Linked DNA regions of Coturnix japonica. The protein of the gene in region 2 interacts with the protein of the main gene of each other region in a biochemical or structural test. Links are inferred from orthologs where the notes say so. Each region holds a gene or a part of one and is shown on either strand. Other genes may lie near its edges. The genes, in order: NEDD4, UBE2D1, SMURF2, ARIH1, MIB2, AREL1 and MUL1.

Region 1 (3,500 bases), on a different chromosome or scaffold from region 2:
TGTCAGATCTTTGGCCTAAAACCCATTGCTTCAACAAGTATTATAAGACCACAGTAATTTAAATTAATGGACAGTGTAGTCTTAAAACATGAAATAACTTTTGTAAGTATTATTGCTCTTTCTCCAGAGTTCACAATTAAAAACAGTTAATAATACTCAGCTTGTTCAAGTCTCCACAACCTCACTATAACAGTTTCTAGTATTCACATTTCATATGGTTTATGCTTTACTAACAATAGAAAATGCCTCAAGAGTTAATAAGATCAAACCCTCCGGAAATTCAGTTCGATGTAAGCTTCATTACCAAACAATATATTTAATATAAACCTTCTAGAGCCGAGTACTATAATTTGGACAGCAATGTTGTTGGGAGAGAGATTAAGTTACAGCGTGCTGCTCAGACTGAAGAAGTGGTTGGAAGGGGGAAAAAAAAAAGGAAAGGAAACTGAAAATTCCTGTGGTTCAGGGTGTATACAGAAACAAATGGTATTTACAGTTTCTCTGTTCAAATATAACTTATCTTTAATCTCTCATAAAGTAAACCATACTGAGAATAAAGCCTATATGAAATAAACCTGAAAGCCTTCTTTATAGCAATTTATTCATTTTTGCCAACTTTATATGCAATGTTAATCATTACTATAATTGAGCTGGAAAGTTACGTATTTAAAACTTTACAAAAGTGAAGTTTAGGCATTTAGACATTGAAGTTATTTAAACAAGAAAATCCCTTTGGGTTCATGTAAGCAGGAAATAATTGTGTATAATATATTAAATACAGATATTTCCCTATATGACAAATTCACCAAAAACAGTACCATATTTTAAGAATCAAATCTAAAAAAATGAGTGTTGTGGGTAATATAAAAATTAACCTGCCCAATGATGACAGTCTGACAACATTAAGAAATCCTGAAATAGCTGTGTTTAAAATCTTGATTACAAATGTTATTATTTAAAATTTATAATTTAGTTTCAGCTGCAGAACACTGATTTTTCTATAAGTCAGAACACTCACCTTATGGGGCCTCCACAAAGAAGTGCTGGATATTTCCCTTTTAGAGGTTCCATATCTTTTCTTAACACCACTTGTTTTTCCTTCGTTCCCAGGTCTGAACTGTATGTGCAACTGAGACGTCCTTGCATTATGACACTTGTATTTAAGACTGGATAAACAGCAAGAAACTTTCTGACGCGATCCTTCCAACGAAACACTTCTTTGCAAAACATGGTGGGCTTTGCTCATCTGTGCATTCGGTCTTTCCAGTTCGTTTATATTCATCTGGTATTCTGAATCTATTTTTGAGGGTAAACATGCAGATGTGCTGCGTGCCAGTTTTAAAGGAGGGTATTTTGTAGTGGAGTTCAGATTTAACTCTTGACTGCAACAGCCATTAACCATTTCACTGCTTGATGCAAATGCTCTTGGAGTCAGATGAACTGAAATGCATGAGAATCTGTCAGCTATTTCTTCACGAGCTGTCTGCTCAGAACTGTTCAAAATTCGACTTTTGTCCCGTAATGATGTCTGCAAGTAAAGCTGTCTTATGTCTCTAGCTTCACCAGATGCGCAAACTGTTTTAGACAGTCGAAGTCCATTGACTGCTGTTGAAAGGAATCCCTTAGAAACAGTCTGATCTTCCTTATGTGCCAGCTCACTAGGAGAAATAATTAGTTTATGTGATGTTTGATAGGCACCTCTATGTGGCATCTGACCTGAGGTTACTGGAGTAGCTGGAGGAGTACTGGAAGGGCTTCTGGGGAAAATTACCAATGATGAACACCGCCGCAGCGGAACTTTGGTTTTCTTCCTCACCGACACAGCTTCTTGGTCAAAAGCAGGGTTAATTCTACACACTTCTATTTCCTCCTGAGATGAACTGCTTCTGTATGGACTGTATTTGTTTGCAGTGTTTCCATACGAAGAATCACCATGTACAACACTACAACAGAAAGAACCATCGCTTGTGGAGAGAGTGCCGCTGCCGCTGTCACTGATGACGCTGTTACTATATGAACCTCCATCACTCGTGGTACTTGCACATGATCCATAGTCGCTGCCAGCACTGCTGAAGGACCCATTGTCACTGGCTGCAATACTGTTAAGACTGCCGATGCACACAGCAGTATTGCTCAGATGGCTATCGTTAGCTTGATGATCAACCACAGTTCTGATGCCATAATTTCCTTCATTACAAATACTGATGAATGAAGCATCTTCGCCAGCAGCTGCAGCATCACCAGACCGAAAACATTCATTATGCCTTCTAGATTGCAGAGAAATGTGCAGAGACGTGCTCTTTTTTTTTTGCAGTGAAGAAATAGCTGCATTTCCCTCTTGATTAATTACTTGCTGCATTACAGGTGCACAAGCAACTTGTCTAGAAGCCAGCTTCATTTGTATACCATTAAGTTCAGAATTCTGTGCCTTTTTGAAGTACATTTGATTGTTACTATTCAAAACATCTTCGGAGGTTTCCGGTAACAGATCCGTGTTCCTTCTTTGGGTTGCAAAATGCAGTCTTAACCGTCGTGCCATTTGTTCTCATTTCCATGCATATTAGCAAATTAAAACCACAAAGATCCTTCAGCAGAAAGTTTACAGGCAGCTGCACAGAACCTGGAGCTAGTGCATCACAACAGCAAAAGCCCATAAAAGAAGTTGCAAGCTTTGTCCTAATTTCTACAGGATAGTAGTGTTAAGAAAAAAGATATTGTACCTCTTGAAATCAGTCAGCCATTTGTTGAAGTGCAGTTTCTGGACCGTCTTTGATTGCTCGCAGTCAGAAAGCATTCATTTATAAAGCACTTACATTCCAGCGACCTCAGCTGCAACGTACTGACAAACACTATCAACCTTGTTTCGATTATACCTTCTGTAATTTGCATATATGAATATAATAATAACCTCTCAGCACTTCCAAGTTTAAAACAGCAGCTTCTGCTGCAGCTGCACTAGCTGAGTCAATGTGTCCGTACTTTCCCCAGCAGCGTATGACTACTAATATTTTTACCCATAGGTTTAGAATTACAGGAAGTTGGTAGGAATGAAATCCCATATAATTGAGTATCAAGTCTAGGATTGAATTTCCAAATAGTAGCCATGCTAGCAAACTGCTGAGGTCTGACTTATGCATAAACCAGCAAAATAACCCTCCTCCTTAAAAAAAGTTTTTCTAGGCTATTTAAACAAAACTTGAAAGAAACCTGGCATTACCTAACAATCTGCATTCTGTTTAACCAATCACTCTTTGCAAAGATTTCCACGTAGTGAAAAGGTCTCCTACCAATTAGTTAATGTTTTTTAGTGAGACGCCTCTAAACTCGAAGTGCAACAAGATACTCTGATTAATAATTCAGTGCTTATATCCAGACTGCCATGTTAAATAATATATTTCAACCTTTCCAAATTACAGCTGTTGAAGGTAGAAAGAAACAAAATATTCTTACAGTGCAAAGCAAAGTACCATCTTGTTTGCTGGAAGCCCAGAATAAGCGGA
Region 2 (4,139 bases):
CTCTCCCTCCTCTCCCCCTCAGCCCCACACAGCCCCACAGCCCTACCCACCCCGCACGGCGCCATTCTGCCCCAGCCCCATGGCTCCCGTTCCGCAGAGGACACACACAGCTCCGCAGGGCGCACGCGCCGCAGCCCGCCCCTTCTAAAGGCCGTGAAGGCAGCGAGGGGAGGAGCTCCGCAGGGCCGCACCTCCAGGCCGCGAGGGGGCGGCGGTGGCCGCGTCGCCCATCCGGTGCCCCGCGGACACGGACACAAAGCGCCCGCCGCCCGCCCCGCCCCTCGCTGTTACTTCCCGTTCCGCCGGCGCGTGCGGATGCCGTTATCCGCCCGCCCCACCTCCCGGCCCTCCCCCGCCGCGCTCCTCGCTGCCGTCTCCCTGCGCTCCCATGGCGCTGAAGCGGATACAGAAAGTGAGTGGGGGCTGTGGGGCCGCTGTGGGGCTGCAGCCGCCGGGAGGGCCGCTGTGCTGTTGTCTCCGTCAGGTTGGGGGGGGAAGGACGGGTTTGTCGCTCGCTCTCCCTGCCCTGAGGGGAGCGAATATAGCGTGCGGAGGGATATTGCGGCCGTAGGACTCGTGTCGGTGTGTCGGCACGTTGTGTCGCGACAGATGGCAGCAGTAGTGTGGCATTACGACGTGGGGTCTGTCGTGGTAAGGCTTACAAAGCAAAGGTGTATCCCTGAGTCCCTCCGTGCGGATAAAATGGCACCCGTTGCTGTACATCGATGCCTGCTGATGTACAGCCTCTCTATTCCAAGGAGACCGAGGGGACGGGGGGTGTTTGTGCAGTGCTGACGTTGGGGCAGCTCTGCTGGCACAGGCTGCTCTTCATCACTGCCAGAAATACACAGCTAACGGTGGTGGCCGTGTTGGAAAACAGCGTTTTGTAGCCGAGGATTTGCTCTATCAAGCAGCACCGTTGTGCTTTTTGTATCTTGTGATTTCCATGGATATAAACGGGAGGCATTACTTTCGGAGCAAGCTCCACCTCACGCTCTGTCGTGCCTCTATGCGATATGGTGATGCTTTGCGCTTTCTTGGCTTTGGATTTTCTCGCTTTTTCTTCAAGTCCTGCATTTGGAAGAGGGGGATTGTTCCGAATACCTTATTTTTGTCCCATTAAGATGAACAGACAAAGCAAGTGGGAGGTCTGGTGGTGTTGTGGTGTCAGAATGGTGGCATCTATGGAGGTAGCACAACTGCAGAACTTGAGTCTTAGTGTCTTACGTCATATAGGACTGATACCTAAACAGTCCAGCTGCTCTGATCTGTGTCATTACTGCCTTCTTTCACTGGTCTGCTTTGAAGGACTCCATAAAGGACACCCTGTGGACTTGAGAGCTGTACACGAATAATGGAAGGCAGCGAAAGAACAACCCGCTGCTTGGTGGGTGTTGTTTATTCTGGATGTTAGCAATTATTTTACTTACTTAGAGATTTTGAAACCAGCAGCATCTTCTCTGACACATTTGCAGACTGGTTTGATAATAGCTGTTGTTTTCCATCTTGTCAGCATAGTGCTTGATTGTTTTTCTCCAGCCACTCAGTAAGAATGGAGGCATTCCAATGCTCAGATATGCCGTTGAACTAAATGTCTGTTTGTTTCAGCATGTGTTTCATATGCATAGATGGGTGGGACGTGCCAGCTTACATCTTCATGTTGAAAATAACTTGGCTTCTTGTTGAGCTGCATCTTCCTTTGGGTTAATACAGGAGAAGAGGTGGATGTGAGCACTTAGTAGGAAGTACAGTGCATTGTGTAGCTGAGAAACTTCCAAACCTTGCTTTTAAATAATGGTGTGGGGGAAAAGCTCTGGATGTGGTTTCATGTATCTTAAAGAATTAAAATAGCTTCTAGTGATGCTGCTCATGGTCTATTTCTGGCTCCTGATAGCCTGCAGGCTTGCTTAGCAGTAAAAATGAGGAATATTTTTAGGTCTCTCTTATTAGTACTCCCGCTTACTGAGTTTCCATAGGTACCATGCTTAAAACATCCATCTCCCTGTTGTCAAAGTATCCAATCTCATTCCAGTGGCTTTGGAGGAGACAATATCTAACTGTGTTTAATGTGGCACATAACAGCTTGAGCAGCTGCGCTGTCCTCACCAGCTTCACAATTCTTTAGTGCAATATTTTATTTAATTCAGTATTTCTTTCAGTGCTTGAGAGGATTAGAAGACTTAGTGTCCTATCAGTGTCCTCAGCTTAGTTGTCTTCTCTATCCGAGTTGATTATGGTCCTATTGGGGTAGAGCATGGTGTGTGCTGGAGCATGTTGGTGTCAGTATGTTATTTCTTGAGAGGAAAGCCTGGCATGAGTTGGGTCTGTTAGGGTGTGGAAGTTTGGTCCAACTGTTTTTCACAGCTATAAAAGCTTTCTTAATGTCTGAACATGACCTTCACTTAAAACATTGGGTTGAAGAGTGACTTGTCTTCATCATGGTTGGAAAATAACATGATTGGATTGATCTAGGTCTTAGCAAGCTGTGGTTAGAAGCATGCTTTTATTGTGGACGGTTGACAGTGTCTTTAGCCTAAACAAGTTGGAAATGTACACCTTCCTAGCTCCTACCAGTTAGGAAGTACAAGTGTTGGTATGAATCAATGAACTAGTCTTGAAGGTCTTGATAAAAGCATCCAACAAGAGTCACATATAATTGCTCTAAGATGGAATTCTTGGGTTTTGAGATGTCCCTTTTGGCCATCGGTCTTGTGCAGATTGCTGTCTTAATCTTGTGTTTTTCATGCAAACTCGGTGTTCTCTTGTTGGACCTTGTGTTGCAAGTCAGAGCAGACAGTGGCAGGAGCTGCCCATGGAGTCTGGTGATGCGTTGGAAACTTGAGACTTGTTGACTTCTTGTGCAGGCAGTGACTTGGTTACCCTTCTCTGTGCTGTTCCTTCATGAAATTTGAATCCAGATCAAAAAGCAGCTGCACTTGTACAGGATTCTGCTCTTGGTGCTTAGGCTGAGCCTACGCGGGGTGCTGCTTCTCATACAGCTTAGGATTCCCCCAGAGCAGTGAAGCTGGGGGCTGGCAATTCACCCTGTAGTTGTTTGAGTATAGCAGACAACTCCCTTGTTTTCAGTCCCATAGTTGAAGGAGTGACTTAGTGAGGCTGTAACATAACTACATAGCTTCAAAACGTTATAGGCCTACTTAATAAAACCTTAGTGTCTTCATTTTGAAGTGATGACGCTGTGTGCTGTCTGCTTGTGTGTTTAATTGCCAATATTTGTGTGTTACTTACAGGAACTGAGTGATCTGCAGCGAGACCCCCCAGCCCACTGTTCTGCTGGACCTGTTGGAGATGACTGTAAGCTCCTCCTGGGACGTTGCCATGGCTCATCTTATGTCAGTTAAGAAAAAGCTTACAAAAGTTCTCATTCTTTTATCTTTTTGACTTGCAGTGTTTCATTGGCAAGCCACTATTATGGGACCTGTAAGTATTATAACTCATTCCCCCTTAAAAACTAGACTTGTTGCCGTTTACGTTACGGAAGTGGTCGTTTGGCTTTCTATTAACATGGCAGTCAAATTCAGCTGTGCTGTGTGCTGACTAATGATTTGGGGCTTACACTGTTGTTTCTGGTAGTCTAATACTAATTTCTTCTTTTAACTGATCAAAAAAGTCTTTCTTTTTCTGCCTGAAATTAGGGATGCTTAATCGGTCAACTGCAATGCTCGAATTAGTTGAAAGATCTTTTTGAAGATGGTTCCAATTCTGAAAGATACAGCCATCTGAAAGGAGAAAGAGTTATGTAATGCAACGTTGAAGTTGCTAACTGTAAACAAGATTGGTGTTGTGCAAGATTGGGGGCTTTTAGGATATAGCAGGGGGTGTGAAGCGGCTCTGGCAAAACTGGCTTTTGGGAACTCTAAGCCAAGAGAACTTGCGGTTTCTGTGTGAGAAAGATGTCCTCAATCTGAAGAAAACCTCTGAAAGATGCAATCTATGATTCACGACACAAGAGGAGGCGACAGCTTAAGAACAGAACGTTCTAAAGGAAAATGAGCGAGGGTGTGAGCAAGAAGAATGAATGAAAACACCACCTGAGAGAAAGGGTGCTTACAAATAGCACGGCAAGAAGCTGGTATTCCTGGTGTTTTTCCTTTGGATGCAGTGACTCTGGAGGAAAA
Region 3 (3,500 bases), on a different chromosome or scaffold from region 2:
TGAACGTTTAATTAAATTTCAATACACCTTAACAACAACAAGGAAACCACCACCACCCAACACATAACCAGAGCTGTTTGATATCTTTTTTTAGTTTGTTTTTATATACAGCACACTGGGTACGTTGCTTCAAGTCCAGAGTCTTACTGTTAAGAATCAAAACAAACTCCATTTCTCCCAAAGGAAACATAAAACAATATCTTACAGAAAATTAAGATCATTTGAGATGTTTCTTTGTTTCTTTGATCCATACTAACAACAAATTATGTTATTTCATTCATTTAGTTTCTAGCAATATTAACGTGAGAACTAGATTCTTAAATCTAGAACATTATTCTCCACATGTACCTAACTGCTGGGTCACAAAAGCATCATTTTACTTAACTCCTATTGTCAGTCATACCGGGTTAACTGCAGAATCTGGGTTGATTTGCAGTGTGTAGATATCATCTCGGGAATACTGGAAGAGCCCATAGTATGGATTCAGCATTTCATGTGACAACAGGTAGAGCCACTCCCTGAAGAACAAGAAAGAAGAAAGAATTTACTGCATAACCTTAGATAAATTAATTTGCATATTGAGAATCTTTTCAATCTTTTCAAAGGACAGCTATGCACGTGTAGAAAGCAGAATTATTTTCACTGGTTCAGTAATGCACAGCACCTGTCAGCTGCCAGGATTTTCCTTCAAGTTGCTTTCCAAGAGTCACTGATTATGATTCTGTCACCAAGTTGACTGTTCAGTGGTGTACATACACTCCCAAATACCCAAGCTTTTCCAATTGATACAGGTTGCATCAGAGACACCTTTGGTAACAGGCATTTTGATTTATTTACAATAAATTCTCCTTGCTTTTTTTCCTTGAAAAGACTATCTGAGATATATACACTCTTCTGACATACAGCGTTACTAGAACAAATAGAACCACAGAATTTTAAAAGAAAAAGAGTCGTTGTCAGTTTGGTTTAGGAATCAAAGTGGTGCAGCTGGTGGGGCTGAGGAAAGGGATGGAGGACACACTGTTTACCTGGCAACACCTCCATAATCAAGACCTTCCTCCCCACGGAACTTTATCATTAATCGTTTCCATAGATCTTTTGGCCTCATCTTCATGACTTGCCTGTAAGATTCCTGTAAATACACAACACATTCTTTTATTAACTGCTATTTAGAGACAAGAAGCTACTACTGCTTATTAGAAACAAAGGGAGTCTCAGAATCTAAGCCCAAAGGGGATGTTGTTTTCCTAGAGACTGCTGTTTCTCCAATCACAAACTGTTACATAGCTTTCTATAAATGTGATAATGCTTGTCAAGTAAAAAATAGTGTGAAAAGCCAACAGTGGTACTTCTACTGACCAGAAGATATGCAAACCTTCACAAAGCATCTTAAGATGCTTAAGCATCATCAGCACCACCGCCATCCCAGTAAATCTATGGAATTATTGCTCTATCAGTAAGACTTCATCAATACAATATAAAAAGAATGCTAAAGAAAGAAACCAAATGCTCATTTTATAAATGGAATTAAATCAAAGGTTTTATTTATGATGCCCCCAATCTTTGTTTTTGCAGAAGAGAAGAGGCAGGCATGCCTGGGACGCTTCAGAAAAAGAATATAATAATTTCCACTCCTTTACAGCAGCATTTCTCCCCCTTCTTTTTCAGTTTATTATTAAGTGATTTGACTGTCTCCATTGGGAATACCAACACAAATATTTCTTGGCTGGAAAAATGGTGACAACGCAGTGGGGCTATCATGTTTGTGGGTGGAGTAAAAACACAACAGGGATGGGTGGGATGGGTGATAAAGTTTTTGAGACAAACAGGCTTCAGCATTTTGTCTAACTGAATGACTTCTTCAGACAGTTATGGATAACCCTCCTCCCCTTCCCTCAGTGTTAACAAATGGGTCAAGATCTCAAATTACCTCAAAAATCTCTTCCCTGGAGACCTCAATACGACAGTGGCCAGCTTGAGGTTGCTGCTGTGACAGCTCTTGCCTCAGGATCTTGAGTTTCTGCACCAGGTCTCGTTTGTACCTTGGCACAGTCAGACATTCTGCCTCATCTGGAAGCTGACACAGGGACACTACCTGCTGCTGCTGCTGGTGCTGCTGATCTTTAAGTTGATTCTGGCGGCTAGAAACAAACACAGCTGTTTGCAGATATTCAAGTCATACGTCTCCTGTTTTCTTCATGTGTTTCTTAAAGGTTAAGTCTTAGTAACTGACGTACTTTCGATTTACTATGATTACTGTGATTACACTAACAACATTCAGGCCTAGAAAAAAGTAAATTCAGAGAGATTTTATCCTGACTAAAGACATATGCTTCTGTCTTTCTTGGCAACTATCAGTTGTTTTTAGAGTTGGTTATTTCTATTAGTAGTACTCTACAAAGTATGTAAAAGGTTACAGCACGATATAATAAGGTATTAACCATACAGTTTTACTACTAAGCTGCTGACACTGAATTTCTCAGATACCATTTCCATATTTCCTTTGCGTGTTTTGCCTTCCTCCAATTTAAAATTCAAGGATCAGCCAAACACTATGCCTCTAATCTACACTCAATACCATAGTCTGTTTTAAATGGCTTGCATGAAAAAGAGTAAGCTTACAAAAAGATGTTTGTACTGGCAGCTTGGCAAGGACCTTGTCCCTTGTACCTGGCCTAGTCTGGACCACAGGAATGTGGGGAGCTCACATGTAACTAACTGGCACAGATAAGCAAGTATTTTTACTAGCAATTCTAAGAGATTTTGTAAATCTGACTTCTTACTGGACAAAGTCAGTTTTGAGCAGAGATGTCCTTTCTCATGTCACTTCTCAAGTAGGCCTTTTTGCATGGCTTAGCTTTTTAGTGTGGCACTTCCAAACAAGAGGACAAAAGCTGTATTTCCCCTAAAACTTGAAAAGCCTCTGTGCAGGACATGTGATAATGCCCCAAACTGACTGGATAAATAGGAAAGGTCACAATTTAGATATATATTTTTTTCCAATGCAACGTCAATTTATTTTTTTCCAACAACAAAACCAAACATATGAGACAGAACCTCACACAACTTCAATACCTCTTAAGATTTCAGTCCATTGCCTGTTTTGAAACAAAGTCTACTGAGAAAGCTCCCCTGACCAACCAAACTTCATTTCCACCGGGCTTTCACCACCACAGCATTCATTTTTGGCAGTTAAAAAAAGAAGTGGGAGTGTTCCCAGTTTGCCCTGTGGTTCTGACAGCCATTCGGTTATTTTCAAACCTTTTATTTAAAGTTAATTTGCACAAACCACATTCAAGTGAAATTTACTCCAGTCTACAGGGATCATCTATATCCTATGTCTTACAAACCTACCATCTAGAAGCCCCTGCAGTGACACACATTTGGATCAGCTCAGCAACAGCTGAAAGCTTATTCTTAATAATATTATCATTTTACATCTGGGCTATAAGAAGAAAATAATGCACAGCAACCCAATTCTGTCATGATGCCTTAGGATG
Region 4 (3,500 bases), on a different chromosome or scaffold from region 2:
AGGCTTTTTGAGCAGGGAGGCTTAGAATAGGGCCCCTTTCAGCTCTTTGGAGATCTTCAGACTAGCTGAAGGTAATCTGCTTCTAGCCCTTCTTCACCCTTGCTAACAGTGCTGGTAATTGCTTTAAATTTACATGAGATGAATTTGAAATCAGTCTGAAAATGCCAGTGTGTGTAGTATTTTCAGAACTTAGTTGCTTATAGAGATGAAGGGATGATACTTCCCTTGTAAGCAGTGTATTTTTCCAGCCTGGTATCTTCAGTGAGGTTGGCTCGTTTGTGTCTTGGCTTGTAGAAGAATGGACCCAAGGGGTGGTTTGTGGGCACTGGGAATGGGTTTCATCTCTTAATTTGTTTGGTTTATTTCATTGTTTGTGGGGGAAAAATCCAATAGTGCTCATCAAAGCTGAACGTAGAGAGGTGAGGGTGTTGACATGGACCAGTCCAGGAGGTTGGTATGCAAAGGCCACGGGTCATGTGTTCCATGTGCCCGGGCTGGGTATGGCATTACTCCTCAATTGCAGTTCCTGATGCATACGTTAAATGTCACAGATAAAACTTACTGTGTTTTTTTTTTTAATGCTTTAGAACCTTATGTATAGAGTAAGAAAGAGAGTCTTGAAATTCACACGACATGTTAAAATTCAGTGTTGGGTTTTTTGTTTTTCTTTTTTGATTAGTTTCACTTTGACATTGCAGGCTTATGGACATGGGCCTGATGAGATGCTTTGTCACTTGGTTTGTTTTTATTTTAGCGCTGGGAATTTGGCTGTCACGTGCTGTGTTTATGTAATAACTGGTGTGTCATTTGTCGAGGAGCTCCCCAGACTGCTCAGGGCGAGGGTTTATGCAACATCCCAGCGTCACGTGCTGTCCTTTAGTGCATGTTGACATGATAACATGCAGGAGCACACTTGATTCTGGCTGCACCCTGGAATGGTGTATTGATTGCAATATTTGTGTGGTATGGTTTTGTCAAGCTGAAATCCTGTTTAATTTAAAACAAATACCACAAAGTGCATCCAGCTTTGTGTTGCAAGGCTTTATAAACGCAGGTGTTTCTTTCATAACTGAGAAATGTACGCAGAGATCTTCAGTATGTAATGAAACAACTTACAACACATTCAGTATGGACAGTCTGCAATTACCTGCTGGGTCTGTGTGGCCGGGCCAGAATTGGTCACCATGCTCTTAAAGGATTCCTGTCTGTCTAGTTTTCTTCTGCTCTCTTGCTTCTAAGCTGACTTAATGTTGGTGCTGTATGTACCCTGTGATATTGAATTCAAATCAGTTTTGAATTTAAATTGACAACAGATTAAAAACACATTGACTTTAAAACTGAAATGGTAGCAGTCTTTTGAAATCCAGATAACATTAGATCTACCAAAGTCAATGAAGCACTTATTCTGAAGGCTTGCGAAGGAGTTTGACACAAAGTATGGCTGTTCTGTGTAGATGAGCCGGTGAAGCTGTTTGCTCTGCTCCTCGGTCACTCAAGGAAGTATTTTTTAAATGAAAACCATCCTCTCTCTTTAGGGGGTATTTCTCCTGGACTGTGTGTGCTGTCTGTCTGATTCTGTAATTAATATTAGAAGTTAAATACAATACCTTTCAATTTCACAGTACCAACAAATAGCAAATACAAAAAAGAAACCTGCAAGCTTAGAAGGAAGAATCAGAATCATTTGTCTTGACTTTCTGGTCACACAGGGGAGAAGGGACCTTTCTACTACAAGAATATATTTGGTTTTTTTTTCTCCTTTTCTGCAGGCGTCTGATCACAGATTCCAAGGTGAAATTAAAGTACCAGCATTTAATAACCAATAGTTTTGTAGAGGTGAGTTTTGATTTGAAATTTGTGATGGCTCCCAGAGTGTTTTTTCCTCCTGCTTGTGTACTGAACCAGAGTGAGGTTTGTTTATAGCTGCAGAGCAGGTTTCCTTTTGTGTGGTCTCTAATCAGATATAACTACAAATTAAAGGCTTTGCAGGGCTTGTTTTGTGGCCCATTTAGTTACAGGTTGGTTGTAGGAAAATAGTCGAGAAAATCTGTAGGACTACAGAGGTGTAACCTAAAGATAAGGTAAATATCTATAGATTACAAGATTGCAAGAGCTATTCAGTGTTTATTTTCTTAGAAGCACTTAATGTTTATGGTTTTTGAATGCTACCTAAGATGTCTCAGGCTGCAAATCGTGAAACACTTTTCTATTAAGAGCAGCGTGTCTTAAACATTTGACATTTGAAGTAAAGCTGTAAAATGTCTTTTAGCAAAATACTGATAGCTTCACTGCTCCCAAAGCACCATTCTGAGTTTGTCTTGATTTTTGAAAGCTTAGGTTTGTCCCAGTTTCCTGGATGTACATGTTCAAATCCACTATATTGTTTCTTTTTGCTTTGTTTCATAGTGTAATCGACTGTTAAAATGGTGTCCTGCCCCAGACTGCCACCATGTTGTTAAAGTCCAGTATCCTGATGCTAAACCTGTTCGCTGCAAATGTGGACGTCAGTTTTGGTGAGAACAATAAAGCAAAAGAAGTTAAGGTTGCCTTCAACTTAGCACTTTGAAAGTGGTAATAAAATGAAATAATGAAAGCTAATACAAGTTAATAATTAGTGAACTCTATTGTCTTTCCCAGGCGAGATCTTTTTATTCACCTTCTTTGTTTATAAGATAGCTAACTTTGCAAGGTTACCTGGATTGCTAGAAGGAAAATAAGACCCTGTTGAATCTAATATTAATGCCCAGACTGAATGCAGTGTATATCCAAATGAAGTTATGGGAGTTGAGGGTCTTTTTAATATGGGTAGTGTTTCCTTGGAGTTTTCCATATTCTATCAGCAGGGCCTCTCAGAAGAAAAATTTCCATGATGTTAACCAAATTAAATAAAAGAATAACCATGTACTTTATTTGCTGTTTTTCCCCTTACAGCTTTAACTGCGGTGAAAACTGGCATGATCCTGTTAAATGCAAGGTGAGCATCTCAAAGTTCTTTGCTAAGTGTGTGACTTTGAAACATTTACAGTCAACTTATGTGCATGACATGCAGAAAAAAGCTCAAGCTTTGCAACTGCTCACGTCAAGAAGCATTTTAATTCATCTGTTTAGGTGGTAACATGAAAAAAATTAGAGAAGTCTTCCTGGATGCCTTTAGGATGCTTCACTTTATTTGTGAACCTACACCCCTTGGGGAAGTGCCTGAAGGAGGAGGATATTCCAGATGAGACCATCAAGAACTGGGAAGTTTCAGAAGTGAATGCTTCACTTTACAGAGTGTTCCTGCACTCAGTGTTTTTATAGGTGCTCAGGGCTTCCACAGGGCTGTGGTTTGTGGCGTGGAGCGAGTTGGGTCCTGGTTCTGGTGCCTGTTTCCATACAGTGTGCACTGCTTCTTGTGGAGCTGCCCAAAGCTATAATCAAACCTGGGATCCCAGGGCCCAGTGTGGAGCTGACAAACAAACATGTTTTGTGCCTTGAAGAGAGCAGTTTGTTGATCCTCA
Region 5 (3,500 bases), on a different chromosome or scaffold from region 2:
CATCACTTGTGTATAATTGTGTCATTAAAGATGTACACCACACACGCAAACACATATGGATACATACACACCCTACAGGTGGCCACTTCTGCCAACAGTAACTTTACAGGACAGAATCACCAGGTAATATTTCTTCAGTCAGACAGTTGGAAAACACAAGTACAGCCAGATCCACATTTCAGCTACTGTTTGTACATTCATTTTAATGCTCAGGAAAATATAATTTTATTTTATTAAGTTCTGCTGCAAAACAAAGAAACGAAAACCGAAAACCCTTCTCATTTCTTAATTATGACTCTGTTTTTCTTTACACTTTGATTGGAGCGTTGAACACCTGCCTTTGGCATCATGGTTAGAAAGCTCAGGAGTCTCTGAACGCACGGTTGTGCAAAAAAAGAAAACATGGAAGAGTGTCACTTAGAGAAGTTTTTGTTGTAACAACGTATTTTCTCCAATCAGTGCTCACTACTTTATCTCTAAGGCACACACACACTCTGTCTCTAGGATCTCATCACAGCCACATTTGTCTGTCAGTCCAAATCTCGTCGAGCCTTCAAGTGCTCGTTCAGAGAGCATGCTGTCGTAGGACATGACCTCCCTACCACTGACAGGCAGCAAGGAAAACCAATGGCCACGGCTGATCTCCGGTATCTCCTTGCACAAAGCACAAGCAAACGCTTTACCTGCCGAGGTAGAAGGTACATCCTCCTACAGCATCGCCTTCAGAGCAACGAAAGGCTGCAAGTCTGACACTGCAGGGCACTAGACACGATGCAGTCACTGGAGCACTCCAAACTCCAAACGTCTGTTGGCCTCTGGGCTGAAAGTCTCTTCTGCCTCCAGCAGACAGCTCAGCGTTCTTTACTTCGTGTCTTTCCAAAGGACAGGCAGCACAAGGTGAGGTGGCTGCCTGCCCTCCAGCACCATTCCTTGCCCTTACAGTGCTACAAGTGGAGGACACTCCCACCCCTTCACCTAAGTCACATTTGTTTCCCCCCCTCTTTCACAATGGCTTTGCAGGTAGCCAGACCGAGCAGCGCTTCTCATCTAAAATGCAAACAAAAAGGATGTAAAGGAGGTGGGAACAGAAAGGGAAGCAAGCATATCCTTAGACAAAGATCTGAATCCTCTCCCGGATAGCCTGCCGGCAGATGGGGCACACAGTAAGGGCTGTGCTGCAGTCTGGGCAAGAGCCATGTCCGCACTGGAAGACCAGTTTGATTTGGTCATCGATGCAAATAGGGCAGGTGATGCGCTCTTCCATCTGCCGGTAGCGGTTCTGCAGCTCCTCCATGAGCTTCCTCTGATCTGTGGATTCAGAGCTGGGGCTGCACTCCACCTCGGTGCTGTCTGCAGGGGTGGGAGAGCAGGGAGAGTTAGTTGCTATTGTGCTCTGTCTCATGCAGTGTCTCCTTAACCAGACTGTCACTCCAAGAGCAGCAGTTTGTTCAGTCCTTATCCAGGGATTCTGGATAGCCTGAAATGATGCTTTTTATCAACTGGCCAGTGGTGCTTTCCTCTCTTCTGCTGCTTAATCCAAGCTGTCTGATACTTCCTGCCTTGCTGCTCTGCAATATGTTGGTGCTACCTTTAAGTAAAAGCTTTCAAAGCTGGTTATGACGTTTTGCCACACAGTCCATGAATCCTCACACTGATGTCAGTACTGTGTTCTTTCAACCTCCTTGATTACACTTTGGATTTAATTTTCCCCTTATGTCTTTCAGGACACACGAGGTATGAAGCAAGAAACCATCTGACATCACCTACATCAACATGCATAGAAGCAGCTACACGAAGCAGAGTCCTACAGTCAACACTATGCACAGAATTCAGTGGACCTTAATGAGATCCTTGGACCCTGTTCCTCTGTGCTTTTGTCCAGGCATCAGGACAGAAAACCTGATTCCATGAAGGACGAGTTTAACACTAATGCTATGGGTACCAGATCCCCTTTCCTCCCCCACTCCTGCAAAAAAAATAAGTTAACTCTATTTCTTATGTTTTGGGCTTTTTACCCCCACTGAGAACCACTGATTGCTGCTGGGACAAACACGTACAGCAAACATACCTTGCTTGAGTTTTTTGGTTATTGTCACTTGACATTTGATGCACTTCTTCATTCTTCTGGAGCATTCTACCAAAATGATAGAAGGAGTGATACAATTAAGCCCACTGCTGCAAGAACAATAGGAAGACAATAGACTCGAGAACATGGCCTGAGGACTCCCTGGATAATCAAGAGATGGAAATCAGGACACTGCCTTCTATTTTTGAGCTACATCCTCGTCTCTCACTTCAGTCTATCCTATGCAGTAGCAAACACAACACGACTTCTCAATGCTCTGTGTTGCCAGAACTGCTGTGCTATGGATGCCATACAGCTCTCCATTCTGTGGCTCTGGACACTCCATCTACAGTGACAGTGCTGAAATCATGCTGGGGCTGTTCCAGCTCATGGACAGCTTTGCATCCCAACAGACTCTGATTTATGAATCAGGGAGGCTACGTGGCAGAACAGGAAAGGAAAAGAAAGACAGAACGGACTTACCCTCACACACAATGCTGTGCTGGCATGGGAAGAAATGGATGAGCAAGGCCAGCTCTGAGCAGACCAGGCACTCTGTGGGGACTGCCACACTTGAGACACTAAGGTTGGTCATTGTGTTGGGGGTGGTGTGCACGCGGCGAAGGCTGCAGGTGATGGCTGAGCAGTCTGAAGAAACCTGCTGTTCCCTGCAACCGAGAACATGTAATCAAATTCAGTGAGCTGATAAAATCGTTTTGATCCCTGGCAAACAATTCCATGTGAAGACAAAAATGCAGATGCTCAGGTAGCACAAACTTATCAATCTTCATTGCACTAGTGAGACCAACTCAGCCTCCTGACAGGGAGCTATTCCACAGGACACTGTTTACCTGAATTTCTGCGAGAAGTCTTTGATGATTTGGACAATCCTTCCGTCTGTAATAAGGTCTAAAGGAGACTTTCCCCGATGGTTTGCATAATTAATATCTGCTCCTTCCTGTGCTAAGTAACACGCAATTGCAGTCCCAACATTCAGCTCTGTGTTTCCAAGAAAGCCAGAAGCCTGCAGCTAAAATACATTAAGAAACACACTGTTAATAGAAAGATTCTGTTACGTAGCTGTACCAAGTTTAAAATTAATCATCATAGTGACTATCTGAAAGCACAGTTTTGCATTCACAAAATGCAAGATGATCCTTCAGTGTATAAACAGCAGATTCAAACCTTGTGTTCCTGGAACAAGTGGGCATAAAACAAGTCCCAACTGGTACTGATCATTACTGCCCATAGTAAGGGGTATTCACTTCTTCAGTCAGCAGACAAGAGCTACAAAGTGTATATTGAAAGCACCACAGTGAATATCAGCTGATGGGCAGCTGGCATGTGGAACCTGAAATGGTAGCTATTTAAAAGGCCAACCTTGTGTGCACATGATCCCAAACTCATCTGAAGTCAAAAACAATTTTCTGCTGAC
Region 6 (3,500 bases), on a different chromosome or scaffold from region 2:
AAAAGTTACTATTATTCCCTGCTTCTACACAGTGCAGGGCCTGAAGTACTATGTTTATGGGCTGACAGGGAGAGAAACCAGCACATGCAACAGATCCTGTTGATGAATAAAGGACTAAGCAAAAGTGAGACAAGTATGGCACGCACAAGCAGATTGCCGGAGCTGCCATGAATGAGTCAGTGAGGTGAAGGGAGTAAATTTAAATAGCAGGAACAGAACAAGTTCCTTTTAGCTCTTTTTAATTCTCTGTTCTAGAATTAGAACCCTGTCTCATTTACCATCAAGTAAAATGGTTTCCATCATCTTCTCAAAATGATAACATAGTTGAAACTTCCTTCTTTGTTACCCTTCTGGCTGGATACGGTGGGGTGGAAAGCACAGGTGCTCAACAAAACCTGTTCTAATGATCCCCACTTAACTCCAGACCCCCAGTGTTCAGGCCCCTCATGAATCTCATTTGTATTCTTGACCCATTCCCCTAAACATGGCCTTTTGGGAGTGGGGGGGGAAAAAAAAAAGAGTCCTTGGCAAGCTTTTACAGATCAAAAAGGTAACACCCAGAGTTTTTAGAATAACTTCTGATAAGATGGGAGCAGCCAGGAGGACTTACAGCTCTAGGATTGCCAAAATGCTCAGTGCCATGTTCCTGGCTTCAGCTGCATAATCTGCATAATATGCATTCAGCTGCATATATCCAAAATATATGACCAAGTTGGCTGAAGGCAAGGCTCAGCCCACTCGCTTCCCAGCAAAGGATGCAATAGTAGGGCAAGCCTGGTTTCCTCTGATTATTCCAAGGAACCTAGAGACTGTGATCAGATTTTATTGGAGAGCAAACCTTGGATATGCACTTAAAGAGCTCTGTAACACATTAATAGAGCAGAACACAAGAACAGATAGCTTTCCTACTCCTAATTAGGAAACTCTAATTCAGACCTATGTCCCTGCCCCAAAGATACTTGGAAACAGAAATATTCCCTTACATGCACTCGGAAGGCCATGCTATGGCCCACCTCATGGGGGTCCTTCCAATCCCAGGAGATTTTGCAGGACCGGGGATCCAGGTAGTTGCCTCGCACGTAGTCATAAATAGTTCGCTCCCCTCGGCGCTCCCGGTCCTCATGCTGAAGGAAGCTGACTATACGTGCGGCAAGCTCAAAGAGGAACTTAATGGTGAAGAAGAAGGCTACCACAGACACTGTGATCCCACCTGCACAAGGAGAAAACAGATGGTAGTCACAGTAGCACGAAGAATCAAGCACGAATGTCACATCTTCATTATCCCAAGATGCCTTTTATTGATGATATTCTACTCAACTGCAAATTAGACGTTTAAGGCAAAAGCTACTGTGCAAACATTTATGGACTGTGTTATGCTAGAAGTTAGGTTAGAAAACAATACATCCCTTAAAACACTGCAAATGATTGCAAGTGGAGGAGAAATAGGCAAAGGTGGTACAGAGTCTCAGGCATGGCCAGCAAAAACACAAAATTCCCTCTGAGTTGCAAATTAGAACTACAGAGATTTCTTTAAGGGAAACAGTCAGATAGCCACACAAACCCTGCACATCACATTAAGCCTGGATTAAGAAGCATCATGGAGGCAACAACCCTACCCTAGTTCTAAAGAGAAAAAGTAAGGGGATGGCTTAGGAGTGAGGTCAATGGAAGAACTCTGGAAACAAGAAGAATGGTAAAGGGGCAAGTCTGCCAAATGGAGTACACAGTGCAGGGTGACAATAACTTCATGTTTGTTAGGTAGACTCTAACGTGAAATCAAAGGCTTCTGGTAAATCTCTCTAATGCCTATGGAGAGGTCAACAAACACATTGGCAACCTTTCCTTCACTTACCAATAATGTAAAACATCAGGTCCCTTCGGTGAGACACAAAGCCGAGGATCACAGCTGCATCTAGAACACAAAATAGGCCAAGTCCAGACCAACAGCTCTTCCTCACATACACTGGCCTAAATTTAGTCTATGATTCCTCAAACAAATACCTATCATCTATCTCCCTCTCCAAGGACATCTTTAAGGCATTATTCCATGATACTGAAATATACAATCAGTGCGCTAAAAGGACCAGTTCTTGCACCATCACAGATTCCTGTTCTGATCCAGTGACCTATCCTCAAAAAACAAACGGTGGGTTTTGGGTGCTGAAGGATGAGCTAATTTTGCAGGACTTCAACAAAAATATCTGAAAGCCACTCATTGGAAATCTCAAAGCTACAGGAATCAAGTCACAAAGTTAATGTCTAGACTGCCATGGAAGTGTATAATAGAGCCAACACCAAAACAGATAGAAACTGACCCTCAACCAGGAACTTTATAAGAAAGTCTATGGAATAAAAAGGATGTGGACAAGACCATTCTGATTGGTTCAGAACAAATAAGATCCTCCAAGGGCAAGAACGAATTCATTTTTTAATATTTTTTTCCTGCCTTGTGCCTCTACTGTAGAATGCAGAAAAAGCTGTCCACCTCTGTGCACTCGCTTCTGAAAAGCAGAAACTCTTGCTGATCAACTTGCAAGCTAAAATCTTGATTTTTGCAGGCTATTAAGATAACAGTAAATTATAGAGACACCAATCTAAAATTAAATTCTCACTGAGGAGGGTGCTAAACAAACATGTAGTAAAAAGACTACACCCTGAACAACATGTTCATGGTTGATAAGACACAGCTGACAGATGGAACAAGCAGCAGCAGCAGCAGCGAATGTGTGCAACAATCAGACAACTTGGCATACACTAATGCATCCAATATAGCTCACCAAGTCACCATTCTGTTAGTGAGAAGCTACATTGTGCATTCAAACTGTCTTTAAAGAAATATATAGACAAAGGGGGAGTTATTCAGCAGTCATCTCAACAGCAGTAGCAATGGACACCAGCATGCAGAAGGCTTAAATGAGGCGTGTATCCCCCCGGGCCACAACAACAGCCATCATTTTCCAGCCCAGCAAATGCCCTTTGCTGGTCCCCCACATCCCCCTCCATCCCCCCCTAAAGAACAATCACTTACCTTTATGCAACTGCCCATGTTCTAAAAACCAAAAGGGTGGAACCCATTCTTCAGCATCCTTCCTCCTTATGCCCAAGTGGGGCAAATGTCAGCACAACGAGGCCATAGAAAAGACTGCCACAGAAAATGGAACTCCTGGAACTTGCATCACAAGAAGAACAGCTGAAAGGTGAGGACCTGAGCACAGCAACCTCTTCCTCTTTGTGTAAAAAGGTTGACCTGAAGCACAGCTCCCTGTAGCCTGTAGTTTGATAGCCTCCCTGGATAAAGAAGAAAAAGTAAAGTTAGATCTTTCTGTCACTGACAACAAGTCTAGCAAGTACAGACAGGTGAGAGTTGCACTACAAGAGTATCACTAGATGTCAAATCCACAGAAACAATCCTACAAAGATATCACAGTCAATGAAGTGCTTGGCTTCAACATGTTCTCATTCTCCATATAACACTCTCATTCCATATGATCTACTGAAAA
Region 7 (4,078 bases), on a different chromosome or scaffold from region 2:
CCACCGTGGTCTCTTTGGCCAGTGAGATGCGGGGGTGCAGCTTGCGTGGCCCAAGGGCCCCCATATGCTGAGCATTCATCCACTGCTTTGGCCATACCGGGTGCACTCGGGACACAGCTGGACTATAGGGCTACGTCCCTTTGCTCTTAAAGGGGGGGATGCAGCTGGATCCCCCCATCCCTCTCCTGGAAATAAACCCAATGTGTGTTTTTTGCCTGTGACAGCACCTGTCTCTCGCCAGCCTGGAAGACTCGCGATGGTTTGTTGCTTTTCTGTTCTGTATTTACCCATTTTTTGCACTTCTCGGGGTAAAATATCCACCCCACAGTGGGGGGGGGAGGGAGGGGAGAGGGGTTTCTGCACCTTCCATGCCATTCTACGTGGTGTGATGCTCATGTTGCCATGGCAATGGTGGGGTTTAAATAGAGCAGGCCCACGCTTTGGGTTGGGGGGGGAGGCTGCAATGTGGATCCCAGGCCTGAAACTGGGGGGAAAATACAGCCCAGAGAACCTAAATCAGTGGAGTTTTACACAAAAATGTTTTTTTTTTCACCCAGTTCCTGCTCTATCTGCCTTGACAGGAGCAGCAATGAGGGGGGCACGGTGGAAGGAGCTGAATAAGTGGGGTGGTGGGAGGGGGAACAAGGGGCACTGCTGCCCCATAGACTGAGGAAGGGGATGCACCAGTGGGATGGGGTTTGTGTGAGCTCCCCCCACATACAGCAGCCAAGGAGGGGGTGGGCTGTGGTCCTGATTCCCTCTGAGCTTTGGGGGCTGCCCCCACACTCTGTGGGCTCTATAGAGCTCTATGGGACTGTGGTTTGAGATAACTGGCCCCCGAAAGCACTATGGGGCCAAGATTTGGGCTAACACCCCTATAAATAAACCTATGCAGGGTTATATCTGAGATATAACCAGCATCCTGGGGTGAAAGACTGGGATTTGGGTTAAACATCCTCTGAAAGCCCTTTAAGGCTGAGATATAGGCCAACCCCACACAAAAGGTCCTATAGGGCTGGGATTTAGCTTATCCACCTCCAAAATCCTTGGGGTGAGAGTATGGGATTTAGGCTAAATCCACCCCAAAGGCCCAATGGGTGTGGGATATGGGCTATCCTGCCCTAAAATCTTGCGGTAAAAGGTTGGGATTTGAATTATACCCACCCCAAAGGCCCTATAGGGTTTGGCGGGGCTGTATTGGGGGGCTCTACCAGGAAACCTTACAGCCATAACTCGGAGGACCGCACACTCTATGGTAACGGAGTTGCTTCCAGAGCGCCGCTCGCTTGACGTCATCACTCAGCGCCGCTCGGTTGCCTCGGTAATGGAGGAGATGGAAGGAAGCGGGCGGCCTTCGGCCTTGCAGGCCGCGCTGTTGGCGGCCGGTACGGGGCTGACAGCGCTGCTTTACTCGGTGTACCGGCAGCAGACCCGGCTCTCCCGAGGCCTACAGGTGGGTACGGGTGCTCCTGGACCGGGATGCGGGCTGCTAAAGGCCGTAATGGCTGCTTCGGGCCTAGGCCGCGGCCTAGTCCTGAGCCTGGGCCTAGTGGTTGATCCTCGGCTCCTTATGTCCCATAGGGAGCCCGGAGGCTGCGGTTGGACGGGGAGCTGCGGGCCGTGCTGCTGGAGGCACCAGGCCGCTGTGTGCCTTATGCTGTCATTGAAGGTATTGGTATAGCTAAAGGCTGGGTCTCTTTCCACATCTCCCCTTTGGCTCAAAGGGTTTTGCCCTAAAATCTGCTTTCTTGCACCAGAAATGGGGTAGCACTGCCCTGTAGTGCAGGCTCCTCCTTCACAGACACACACCCAGGGAAGGGGATGGGCTGTGATTCCTTCCAAATGAAAGGGGGAAAACTCCAGCCCTAATAGAAGGCTCTGGGGTATGGGATAGGGTTAGTTCCTTCCGTATGCAATGCAGGTTGGGGTTTGGGCTGGCATCCCTATGGAGCTTAAATATAGCCTGATTCCTGCAAAACTATGGGGTGAAAGGCTGGGGTTTGGGCTGAATGTACCCCAAAGGTCGTGTAGGGATTGATCCCTTCATAAAGGTACTACAGGGCTGGAATTTAGCCTGTCCCCTTCCAGAATCCTTGGGGATGGGATTATGGAATTTAGGCTAAACCCACCCCAGAGGCCCAGAGTTAATCTGGTCCCCAAAATGCCCCAACGAGGCCGGCATTTGAGCTACTTCCCCACCAAAAAAACGCCCCGTGAAGGTGGTATTTGGGCTATTTCTCTCCCCCAAAAACGTGCAGTGGGGGCTGAGATTTGAGCTAAGACCTCCACCACCTCCACAAGACACATTTGGGCTGGGATTTAACCTGTCCCCATCCAAAATCATGGGAGTGAAAGACTAGAACTTGAGTTAAACGTATCCCAGAGCCCTGTGGGGCTGAGTTCTGGGCCTGTACCTCCCTCCCCTTAAAAAATAAAGCACTTTGGGGCTGGAATTTGAGCTAATCTTCCCCCATGACAATAAAAGAGACTTGACCCACAACTCAACCACTCCACGTGTTCCAGGTGTGGTACGTTCTGTCAGGGACACCCTGAGCAGCCAGTTTGTGGACAACTGCAAGGGCGTCGTGCAGAGGCTGACACTGCAGGAGCACAAGATGGTATGGAACCGAACGACCCACCTCTGGTACGTACCTATATAGAACCATAGGACATCCCAAGTTGGAAGGGACCCATAAGGACCTGAAATCAGAACCTTAAGCCTTAGAGCAATGTCTCAACACTCCTTGAGCTCTGGAAGTTCAGGGTTGTACCCTCCACCCCACACATATGGCAGCTGGAGGCCACCCCAAGCAGCCAAATGGAGCATCCCTGCACTGCACTGAGCAGCCTAATAAAGCAGAGAATGGGAAGCTTGATGGTATTGTGGAGTCATCGTGGCTGTGGAGGTGATGAGGATTTAGCTGCCCCTGAGCTCTTTGCCTTGTGACAGCAGCAGGTTTTGCATGGGGGGCACAGGCAGAGTGATAAATGTTGCTGTGTTGAAAGCTGTGGTGTTTCCCTGCTACCTGGCTTAGGTTGGAGGGAACCTTAAAGATTATCAAACTCAAGATTATATCAGCTTGGAGGCTACCTTAAAGATTATCAACCCATGCCATGGGGTTGGATCACCCAACCCAGCCTGGATTGCCAGCGTGAAAGCACTAATGCTTTCTTTATCCCCAGGAATGACTATGAGAAGATCATCCACCAGAGAACCAACACCACAGCTTTCGACTTGGCCCCATTGGAAGACAGCACCGGGGTTGCCGTGAGGGTGATGAAACCACTGGAGGCTGCTGAGCTCAGCCTAGAGACAGTGCATGAGAAGTTCCATCCCTCAGTGCAATCCTTCCCCGATGTCATCGGCCACTACATCAGCGGGGAGCGCCCCAAAGGCATTCAGGAAACAGAGCAGATGCTGAAGGTGGGAGCTGCACTGACTGGTGTCGGAGAGCTGGTGCTGGACAACAACACCATCAAGCTGCAGCCACCCAAGCAAGGTCTGCGTTACTACCTGACCAGCTCCGATTTCGATGCTTTGCTGAGGAAACAGGAATCGAACGCCAAGCTTTGGAAGATCCTGACCATCCTTTTTGGTTTTGCTACGTGTGCTGTTCTCTTTTTCCTCTTAAGGAAACAGTATCGTTACCACCGGGAGAGGCAGCACCTCAAACAGATGCAACAGGAATTCAGGCAAGCTCAGGAGCGGCTGATGCGTGAAGTGAGCACTGAGGGTGGAGAGACACTGAAAAATGCCTGTGTCATCTGCCTGAGCAACGCCAAATCCTGTGTCTTCCTGGAGTGTGGCCACGTCTGCTCCTGCACTGAGTGCTACCGAGCCCTCCCAGAGCCCAAAAGGTGCCCCATCTGCAGACAGGCCATCAGCAGGGTGGTTCCCTTGTACAATAGTTAAAGCGTTGCATCTCAAGGGGGTGTTTTATGGAGAGCTCCCTCTCTCTGAGGGTCCGCCTGCGTCCTGCCCTTCTTGCTGCTGGGTGTTGGATGGCTGGGGGTGGAATCTTGGACTGGGGAAGGGGGAGGGAGCTGAGGAATGATTGGAAATGATTGCAGGTGCTCA

Evidence for each region.
Region 1: the proteins of UBE2D1 (region 2) and NEDD4 form a complex in vitro, tested with the Homo sapiens proteins (14 studies listed by BioGRID). The link is inferred for Coturnix japonica from reciprocal best matches to the Homo sapiens genes UBE2D1 and NEDD4.
Region 3: the proteins of UBE2D1 (region 2) and SMURF2 form a complex in vitro, tested with the Homo sapiens proteins (4 studies listed by BioGRID, with this or other methods). The link is inferred for Coturnix japonica from reciprocal best matches to the Homo sapiens genes UBE2D1 and SMURF2.
Region 4: the proteins of UBE2D1 (region 2) and ARIH1 form a complex in vitro, tested with the Homo sapiens proteins (4 studies listed by BioGRID). The link is inferred for Coturnix japonica from reciprocal best matches to the Homo sapiens genes UBE2D1 and ARIH1.
Region 5: the proteins of UBE2D1 (region 2) and MIB2 form a complex in vitro, tested with the Homo sapiens proteins (2 studies listed by BioGRID). The link is inferred for Coturnix japonica from reciprocal best matches to the Homo sapiens genes UBE2D1 and MIB2.
Region 6: the proteins of UBE2D1 (region 2) and AREL1 form a complex in vitro, tested with the Homo sapiens proteins (5 studies listed by BioGRID). The link is inferred for Coturnix japonica from reciprocal best matches to the Homo sapiens genes UBE2D1 and AREL1.
Region 7: the proteins of UBE2D1 (region 2) and MUL1 form a complex in vitro, tested with the Homo sapiens proteins (4 studies listed by BioGRID). The link is inferred for Coturnix japonica from reciprocal best matches to the Homo sapiens genes UBE2D1 and MUL1.

The regions. Positions count from the first base shown.
Region 1 is NC_029525.1:6,722,655-6,726,154, reverse strand, and holds part of NEDD4 (E3 ubiquitin-protein ligase NEDD4), read right to left. Parts: 5' UTR 2,540-3,500; coding exon 1,019-2,539; intron 1-1,018. UniProt on the Homo sapiens protein: E3 ubiquitin-protein ligase which accepts ubiquitin from an E2 ubiquitin-conjugating enzyme in the form of a thioester and then directly transfers the ubiquitin to targeted substrates. Specifically ubiquitinates 'Lys-63' in target proteins.
Region 2 is NC_029521.1:5,286,812-5,290,950, forward strand, and holds the start of UBE2D1 (ubiquitin-conjugating enzyme E2 D1), read left to right. Parts: upstream 1-1,339; 5' UTR 1,340-1,354; coding exon 1,355-1,387; intron 1,388-3,251; coding exon 3,252-3,315; exon of another isoform or gene 3,316-3,409; coding exon 3,410-3,441; intron 3,442-4,139. Other genes in the region: CISD1 (CDGSH iron-sulfur domain-containing protein 1), read right to left, coding at 51-81.
Region 3 is NC_029533.1:7,225,771-7,229,270, reverse strand, and holds part of SMURF2 (E3 ubiquitin-protein ligase SMURF2), read right to left. Parts: intron 2,142-3,500; coding exon 1,931-2,141; intron 1,133-1,930; coding exon 1,029-1,132; intron 519-1,028; coding exon 404-518; intron 1-403. UniProt on the Homo sapiens protein: E3 ubiquitin-protein ligase which accepts ubiquitin from an E2 ubiquitin-conjugating enzyme in the form of a thioester and then directly transfers the ubiquitin to targeted substrates.
Region 4 is NC_029525.1:1,052,449-1,055,948, forward strand, and holds part of ARIH1 (E3 ubiquitin-protein ligase ARIH1), read left to right. Parts: intron 1-1,769; coding exon 1,770-1,836; intron 1,837-2,406; coding exon 2,407-2,513; intron 2,514-2,931; coding exon 2,932-2,974; intron 2,975-3,500. UniProt on the Homo sapiens protein: E3 ubiquitin-protein ligase, which catalyzes ubiquitination of target proteins together with ubiquitin-conjugating enzyme E2 UBE2L3.
Region 5 is NC_029536.1:1,724,293-1,727,792, forward strand, and holds part of MIB2 (E3 ubiquitin-protein ligase MIB2), read right to left. Parts: intron 3,096-3,500; coding exon 2,917-3,095; intron 2,734-2,916; coding exon 2,549-2,733; intron 2,135-2,548; coding exon 2,069-2,134; intron 1,351-2,068; coding exon 1,109-1,350; 3' UTR 1-1,108. UniProt on the Homo sapiens protein: E3 ubiquitin-protein ligase that mediates ubiquitination of Delta receptors, which act as ligands of Notch proteins.
Region 6 is NC_029520.1:34,490,080-34,493,579, forward strand, and holds part of AREL1 (apoptosis-resistant E3 ubiquitin protein ligase 1), read right to left. Parts: intron 3,289-3,500; 5' UTR 3,029-3,288; intron 1,913-3,028; 5' UTR 1,869-1,912; coding exon 1,853-1,868; intron 1,211-1,852; coding exon 984-1,210; intron 1-983. UniProt on the Homo sapiens protein: E3 ubiquitin-protein ligase that catalyzes 'Lys-11'- or 'Lys-33'-linked polyubiquitin chains, with some preference for 'Lys-33' linkages.
Region 7 is NC_029536.1:4,256,271-4,260,348, reverse strand, and holds the start of MUL1 (mitochondrial ubiquitin ligase activator of NFKB 1), read left to right. Parts: upstream 1-1,278; 5' UTR 1,279-1,324; coding exon 1,325-1,453; intron 1,454-1,581; coding exon 1,582-1,669; intron 1,670-2,523; coding exon 2,524-2,644; intron 2,645-3,183; coding exon 3,184-3,913; 3' UTR 3,914-4,078. Other genes in the region: protein FAM43B, read left to right, coding at 1-71. UniProt on the Homo sapiens protein: Exhibits weak E3 ubiquitin-protein ligase activity. E3 ubiquitin ligases accept ubiquitin from an E2 ubiquitin-conjugating enzyme in the form of a thioester and then directly transfer the ubiquitin to targeted substrates.